Xenopus tropicalis: one gene and its partner. The protein of the gene in region 1 interacts with the protein of each later gene in a biochemical or structural test. Links are inferred from orthologs where the notes say so. Each region holds a gene or a part of one and is shown in the gene's direction. Other genes may lie near its edges.

What was found.
Region 2: the proteins of gtf2i (region 1) and btk form a complex in vitro, tested with the Homo sapiens proteins (4 studies listed by BioGRID and IntAct, with this or other methods). The link is inferred for Xenopus tropicalis from reciprocal best matches to the Homo sapiens genes GTF2I and BTK.

The regions. Positions count from the first base shown.
Region 1 is NC_030678.2:100,524,649-100,528,475, reverse strand, and holds part of gtf2i (general transcription factor II-I), read left to right. Parts: intron 1-784; exon of another isoform or gene 785-1,207; intron 1,208-1,492; coding exon 1,493-1,676; intron 1,677-2,306; coding exon 2,307-2,335; intron 2,336-3,154; coding exon 3,155-3,187; intron 3,188-3,827. UniProt on the Homo sapiens protein: Interacts with the basal transcription machinery by coordinating the formation of a multiprotein complex at the C-FOS promoter, and linking specific signal responsive activator complexes.
Region 2 is NC_030684.2:37,667,752-37,671,578, forward strand, and holds part of btk (tyrosine-protein kinase BTK), read left to right. Parts: intron 1-833; coding exon 834-896; intron 897-2,609; coding exon 2,610-2,664; intron 2,665-3,827. UniProt on the Homo sapiens protein: Non-receptor tyrosine kinase indispensable for B lymphocyte development, differentiation and signaling. Binding of antigen to the B-cell antigen receptor (BCR) triggers signaling that ultimately leads to B-cell activation.

The DNA.
Region 1 (3,827 bases):
CATGTGCATACACTTAATTATACACAGCTAATGCAGATACAGATCTCAGAGGTACTTCAACTCTATAATGCCCCGACTACTATAAACACCTTCCACAGTAAGTGAAATATTAGTGCATTACCTGGTGTAGCAGCAGTAGCCATAACACAGAACTGGTGCAACTCTCTGGGAAGCTCAGCTGGAGTGTAGCTGATCACGTAATCACATTCACCTGAGGCTACTCAGGAATGCATCTAATTAGCCAGTTCTTAATAGTAACTACACTACAGTGCCCTAGCAACCATAACACAATGCGGGCAGCTGAAAGGAGTTGACACATTACCCCATGTATCAGCAAGTAGCCATAACACAGGACTGCTGCAATCTCTGGAAAGCTCAGGTAGAGTGTAGCTAGCACATAATCACATTCACCTGAGGCTACTCAGGAATGCATTTCATTAGGCAGTTCCCAAGGTTACTACATGGCTCTGCCCTAGCAACTGTAACACAATCCAGAGCAACTGAAAGGTTCAATGAATCACCCAATCTGTCTGCAAGTAACCATAATATTTGACTGGTTACATTCAGCTAAAGCTATCCAGGTATGTAGCAACTAGCAGGCAAACTAACCCATTTGTAGTACATAATGCAGCCCAATGTTTAAAGACAGTGGGGTGTCAGGCCCTTTTTTTTTTTTTTTTTTTTTTAAAACACCTCTTAATACAAAACCTTAGGAAAGACTTTGTGAGGGAGGCAGTAGGCTTTGAACTCTGGCTCTATTCAAAAAAAAACTCTCTCCACACAGTAGAACAAAAAGGAATATGGAGATCGCCAGACTCAGGCCACTAACTAAATGTTGAGTACTGCTAACTTCCACCTCCCTCGCCCATCCGCAAAAATATTAAGTGTGTCGGGCCACACACCATTGCCACCAGACACTCACGGCCTGGGAGGGCATACGGATGGGGGGACTAGCACTTGCCATTGGATGCCATTATGACAAACCAGAAAGGCACATGGGATCAAATATACCAAACAGCATTGTCCTACCTTATCAAGCAGAACAGAGCCGAAGATCCCAGGATATGAGGTAATGTGCAGGGGAAAAGATCTCATGGACCAAAAAACCCCAGTCCCTAGGTGCCATTTCCGGTCACCTAATGCTTTCCCAAGGCTAAAAAGCAAAAATGTTGCTTCCAATGGAGCAAGGAAAGCAGAAGGAAAAAAAGACGCCATAGAGGGGGTGGGGGTGGCTTTTAAAGCTTTGGGGAGGATCCTTCTGATGGGGCATGGGGGCGGGGATATCCCAGATAGTGCTGATATGGAGTACGACCAGGGAAAAGTGTTTTTCACCATTAATGATGGTGCCCCAAATCTGTGTATACTCATCATCTGTATAGGATGATTAATATTGTATGTATTATCTTTGTAGTTAAACTAAAAATCTACAGTTTGGAATTTTTTTTAGAAGGTATTAAGGCTTTATTATTATATTTTTTTTATATTTTTATAGGAGAAGCCATTGGCATGAACTTTCCAGTAAAAGTCCCTTACAGGAAAATTACAACTAACCCAGGATGTGTGGTAGTTGATGGAATGCCTCCTGGAGTTTCATTCAAAGCCCCCAGTTACCTTGAAATGAGTTCTATGCGTAGGATTCTGGATTCAGCTGAATTTATTAAGTTTACAGTTATAAGGTAAGTGTTATTTAACTGAAACGTAATTATAGATTTTTTTATAGATTTTAAAACCCACAGAGATCTTGTTATTAAGCCCACTGTTATTGCATATTCTCATAAGGGTGACTGCACACTGTTTTGTCACTCACCCTTTGCACCCTTTTCGCATACATTCCAAAATCTTTTATTAGTTAAAAAAAAAAGAAAGTTAGAAAAAATACGAAATTATCTTAAAATTGTTTAGTAAATGGACCCCTAAGTGTAAGTACTTATAAGTTCTGTGTGGCAGGAACCTACTTCCCATTCCTCACGCAGTGGTCAAAGTGTATAAAAAGGGCACAAACAGGGTGCTGTTGCTTGCATTACCCTCCAATCCCCTATCTGTCCCATGCCTTGCACGTTATTCATGCTCTTGCGTCTGTTTATGTCCTTGCACTTGCGTCCTCTTAGGGTCATTAATGACCTTATATGTCACTTCTGTATGGTTATACAGATTTCTTACTTACTATAATGCTTGTCCTCTCTTACAGCAGTGTGTATCCTAGTAGTGCTTTATAAATAGCGAAATAGTGGATTTTAGTAGGCTTCTAGTGTAAAAGCCTTGCAATGATGTATTTAATGCTACTTTATACTCCTTTTTTATAACAGGCCTTTTCCAGGGCTGGTTCTTAACAACCGTAAGTATGAAGAATTTATCAAAAATAATAATTTTTTTTTTTTTTTTTAAATTTCTTTAATCAGTGTATACATACTTGTCTGACATTATGTTAATTTGGTAAATTATTGAGCTGTATAAATGATTGAGTAAAACGTTTCTGATTGGCTTCCGGGGATCGAGTTTCAAGAAAATGCAGACTATTGCAGCATAAATTGAGGACATCAGGGCTGTACTGGTTTCTGGTGCTGCTGCTCAAGGCTTTTTCTTTTTTTTACTCATTTGTATAGCATGAATCATATTCTTTGCCAGTGATAAGCAGTCCCAGTCTTGATTATCCCATACTCTGCATCAGTCTAGTTATTTGCAACATTCTTTCAGAATTTGGACCAAATGCCATTTTGAGTCAGGAATTTTACCCCTCCCTTGCCCTATTTACCATGTAGACTTTTATGGGCCTTTGTCTAGGATGTAGGCGCTTGGTTGCCTATAGGGTAAAATCAAATTAAAACACAAAAAAAAACTTGGAAAAGCAATGGAAATGAAAAACAATCAAAACAAACTTCTGTGATCCGTGCATGTGCAATACAGCAGGGCCAGCTGTGCATGGGTGATTGCTGAGATAAGGGGTCAGGCTAAGGTCCGGTGCTGCCCTAAGCATTAGCACTTACAATAAAGTCTACTGTCATATGGGAATTACGGATTCCTTTGTATATTGCTGCTTTCTCATAGAATAATCATACTCCTGTCACAAAGAAATTTAGGTGTCATTAGGCTGAAGGTTACAGAACATGACCCGACATAACTATAAATATTTTTTTTTTTCATGTTTTTCATCCAGAAGAAAGTGAATCCGGACAGTCAGCAGAAAATGGTAAGAGGTTTATATGTGGCATATATTTTTTACATTACAAAGTGACAATCCTGCCCACCTGCAACACACTACAAAGCCACACACCACAAAATATTGCAAATTAAATAATTTTTTTTACCTGTGTCGCTCTAAGGTAAAGATTATAACAAAATACAGAAAACGGGTTATTTTCTTTTCTCAAAGGCATATACAGTGCCAGGCCAACAGGAAATGGCACCCAAGGCAAATCAAATGCAGTCATCTGCCCCCAAGTGCCCACCAATACAGCATCCTTTGTACGTCATCTCTCCCCCCCTTTCCCCATGCCATACTCTACTAATGACCCGCTGAACTTTTTCAGAGTTACAGAAGGGCTGGAAGTAGAGGTGGGCAGGCAGAAGAGGTATGTACCCAGTAACCCCCCCACATACACACACAGTTGCTCCATAGTCACGTGCCTTTTCTGTCTGTCCCTGTTTCTGGCCCCGGCCATGTAATTCTGAAAATGTTGGCCTACAGACTCTTGCAACTGAACTATAATTAAATGTTTAGTGAGCCCCTGCTAATATACATATCTATTATCAGTGGGCTTTCCTAAGCCAGTGGCACACTGCACAAATAAGCTCCCAAATCCTGCCAAGGAGCTTGTTGTAAGTTTAAT
Region 2 (3,827 bases), on another chromosome or scaffold:
CGGTAAAGATTTTATTGCGTCTACTTTTTCACGACTTAACGCACAATTCACTAAAAGGATACTTGCATTAATTTAGACGCGATGTTGCTTGCGTTATTTAAGTCGCGAAGACTATTTTCGTGCGGTATTTGACGGAACGCGCGCTAATGAACGCAGCGCGCACAAATAGTCGCTGCTTGCGAAAAAACGCACGCCATATTAGCCATACACACCATTACTTTTGAAAAACTACTGTTCTGAAAATTACCGTTTCCCTGAAAACTGGAGGCTACATCACTCTAGGGCCAACACATACTTGAATAAATCCCACTGCAAAGTCCATATTGTATTGCCAAAAGCTCATTAACTGTACTTTTCTATAATTACCGCCTGCCCCAAGTAGGTGTTATTTTTCGTATGGACTAATGCGATATTTAGCGTATCTAAGTGTTTGTGAATCATGCGTTAGTATTATTTCTGTGTGAGAATTAACGCAATGCGGTAAAATGAAGGCATGCGGTAGCGCGAAATGTAACGCATGCGATAATACTTTAACGAATCATGCTTTTTTTGCGTCAATTTTAATGACGCAAAAAAGTGAATCAACCCTATGGTGTAAGGATGGGCAATATTTGGGGGACCATTTACTAATAGTGATGTGCGAATCTGTCCTGTTTTGCAATTCACATAAAAAAAGTTGCGTCGCTTGTGTTATATTTAGTCATTGTATTGTGTAGTCATTGCCCTGAGAAATGTACAATTTTTTTCTTAATTGTCTGATTAACCATTTCTATATGTAACAGCAATGAACCTTTGTTGTATTGTGATAAGAAATGTGTGTACATCTCTCTTAGGCTGGAAGGATACATACCTGGTAATTATGTTACAGAAGCTCAAGATCCACTGGAAATATATGAGTGAGTACAGTATGGGGTATGGTATGGTGTTTTATGCATATACAGAGTTCCTCTAAAGCTGTGCTGTCCAACTGGCGTCCCGCATGCCACAGCCCCCCTCTGTGTGGTCCCCCACCTGTCTGGCTGCTCTGACTGCTTACCTTTGTGTAAGCTTTAAATGGTGTCAGTAGTGAGATTTACTGGCCCCCTGCATGGTCACACCTCAGGTTCAGGATGTAAACTCGCTGTATTGTTTAAACATGTAATCCCCTGTACTCTTAACACCTTTTAATCCCTACATTATTCACCCCCTGCATTGTTCACACCTCAGGCCCAGACTGTTATCACCCACATTGTTCACCTGTTCACACCTCAGACTGTAGAAGCAGTGCCAGCATTGTGTCACTGTATGTACTGCCTTGCCCTATGCTGCCTGTGTGTATGCCATACACAGGCAGCATATGCCAGGCAGTATGGCACACACAGGCAGCATAGGGCAGTCAGAGTATGGCATACACAGGCAGCATATGGCAGGCAGTATGGCACACACAGGCAGTATAGGGTAGGCAGAGTATGGCACACATAGGGAGCATAGGGCAGGCAGAGTATGGCACACACAGGCAGCATAGGGCAGGCAGAGTATGGCACACACAGGCAGCATAGGGCAGGCAGAGTATGGCACACACAGGCAGCATAGGGCAGGCAGAGTATGAAACACACAGGCACATAGGGCAGGCATAGTATATCACACACAGGCAGCATAGTCCAGGCAGAGTATGGCACACACACAGGCAGCATAAGATAGGCAGAGTATGGCACACACAGGCAGCATAGGGAAGGCAGAATATGGCACACACAGGCAGCATTGGGCAGGCAGAGTATGGCACACATAGGCAGGGTAGGGCAGGAAGAGTATGGCACACATGCAGGGTAGGGCAGGCAGAGTATGGCACACACAGGCAGTACTCTGCCTGCCTTACCCTGCCTGTATGTGCCATACTCTGCCTGCCCTATGCTGCCTGTATGTGCCATACTCTGTCTTCCCTATGCTGCCTGTGTATGCCATACTCTGCTTGTCTTATGCTGCCTGTTGGAGGTGAACCTGGCAGGGGTTTGTATGTTAGCATTTGGAAATAGTTATTATATGGTCCCTAAGGTGTGTAATTATGTGCTGGGGGTTGCTGTGCTATCCACAGGGGAGAAGGAGATTTATGGATTTATGGGTGTCTCTAAATATGACATGATATAATTCTTTCACTTATTAATGAAGGGTGATATCCCTGCAGTGAGCACCAAGCATTTGGGTTTTGCTGCACTACCACCATTAATGTGGGTATGGTTTTAAAAGCTCTTTTGGTAACATGGGTGTGGTTTGAAGTGGGTGTGGTTTAAAAGGGGAGTGGTCAAAATTGGCTTCCATTATCTGCCCTCCGCAATGTAGGTCAGAAAAATTACGTCCCTCAGTACCACAGTAGTTGGACAGCGCTGCTCTAAAGGATAATGGCTCAAATATCCTGTCATATCACTTCTCATTGTTGTCAGAGGTCAATGATCTGTAGCATTATGCTATTTACTAACCCAGGAACAATAGAAGAGTTTTTTTTTAAAGTGAATATACATCTGTATACTTCTGTATTTCTTCTGTGTTTTTCCTGATAATGTACTTTCTATGTTTTTGCAATAAAAAAGACTTTAAAAACAAACTTGTGCCATACTTCTCTTTTCTCCCTCTAGGTGGTACTCCAAAAACATGACAAGAAGTCAGGCTGAAAAACTGCTACGAGCAGAGGTGAATAAAGTGGGCAGTAAGGGGATCTGTGGGGAAAAGTACAGAACAATAAGAGGTTACAAAGAAGGCAATATTGGTGTAGCTAAGTTATAGTAACTAAAGGGAAAGATTAGTAATAGGAGAAGCATTTGGTGGGGGTGTGAGGGATATATGATCAGGATTTTTAGAGAAAGAGGTGGAATTAGAAGAAAGTTGACGTGATCAAATACCACTGTATGTCAGGTCTGTCTTTCACCACATTTGCAGTTAAAAGTGGCAATGTACAGTATAATCCCTAGCATAGCCAAATTCTGTACAACGTAAAGGGGACTCTGCAGACATATTTGCTTCATTTTTTTCTGTTTAATTTTAAAAAGGATGTTTTGCATTCCCCTTTACTACAATTGCTGCATTGCAGCCCTGTGTAAGTGCCTAAATACCTTTGCGCTAGCTGGAGCCCGGTACACTTATTACATTTTCCTCCCTCCTGGGCATGCTGAACTATGGTAAATATTGGTTTTCAGGACCCCAACAATGACTAAAGGTGGCCATACACGTCAAGATCCGCTCGCTTGGCGGGGTCGCCAAGTGAGCGTATCTTCTCCCGATATCGCCCACCCGTAGGTGGGGATATCGGGAGAAGATCCGCTTGCTTGGCGACCCCGCCAAGCGAGCGGATCTTGACGTGTATGGCCACCTTTATTTAGGCTAATTCGGTCGTTTGGCCCTGGGGCCAAAAGATCGAATTATAACGACAGTAATGGGTGCAGTCAGTTCAGGGACCACATCAACGAGCCGATGCGGTCCTCAATCCGACTGAATTTTTTAACCTGCCAATCGATATCTGGACGATTTCAGGCCAGATGTGGATGGGCAGGCCCGCCGTTGCTGCCCCTACACGGGCCGGTAAGCTGCCGAATCGGTCCAAGGGACTGAAATCGGCAGCTAGAATCGGCTTGTATATGGCCACCTTAAGTCTTTTACAGTTGTACATTATTTTGACTCAGCAGCAGCAGACTCAGCCTTCAGCAGTGAGTGTGAAATTTATTTATAGCCCAACAACACAATTTTTTAAGCCTATGCATTTTTCAAAATATTAATAAAATGTATAGTTTTAGCTGCAGTAGGCTCTACGCCTCCTATGTGGTATAAGGTTTCCTGTTAAAGGGCTTCCTCATGGACTC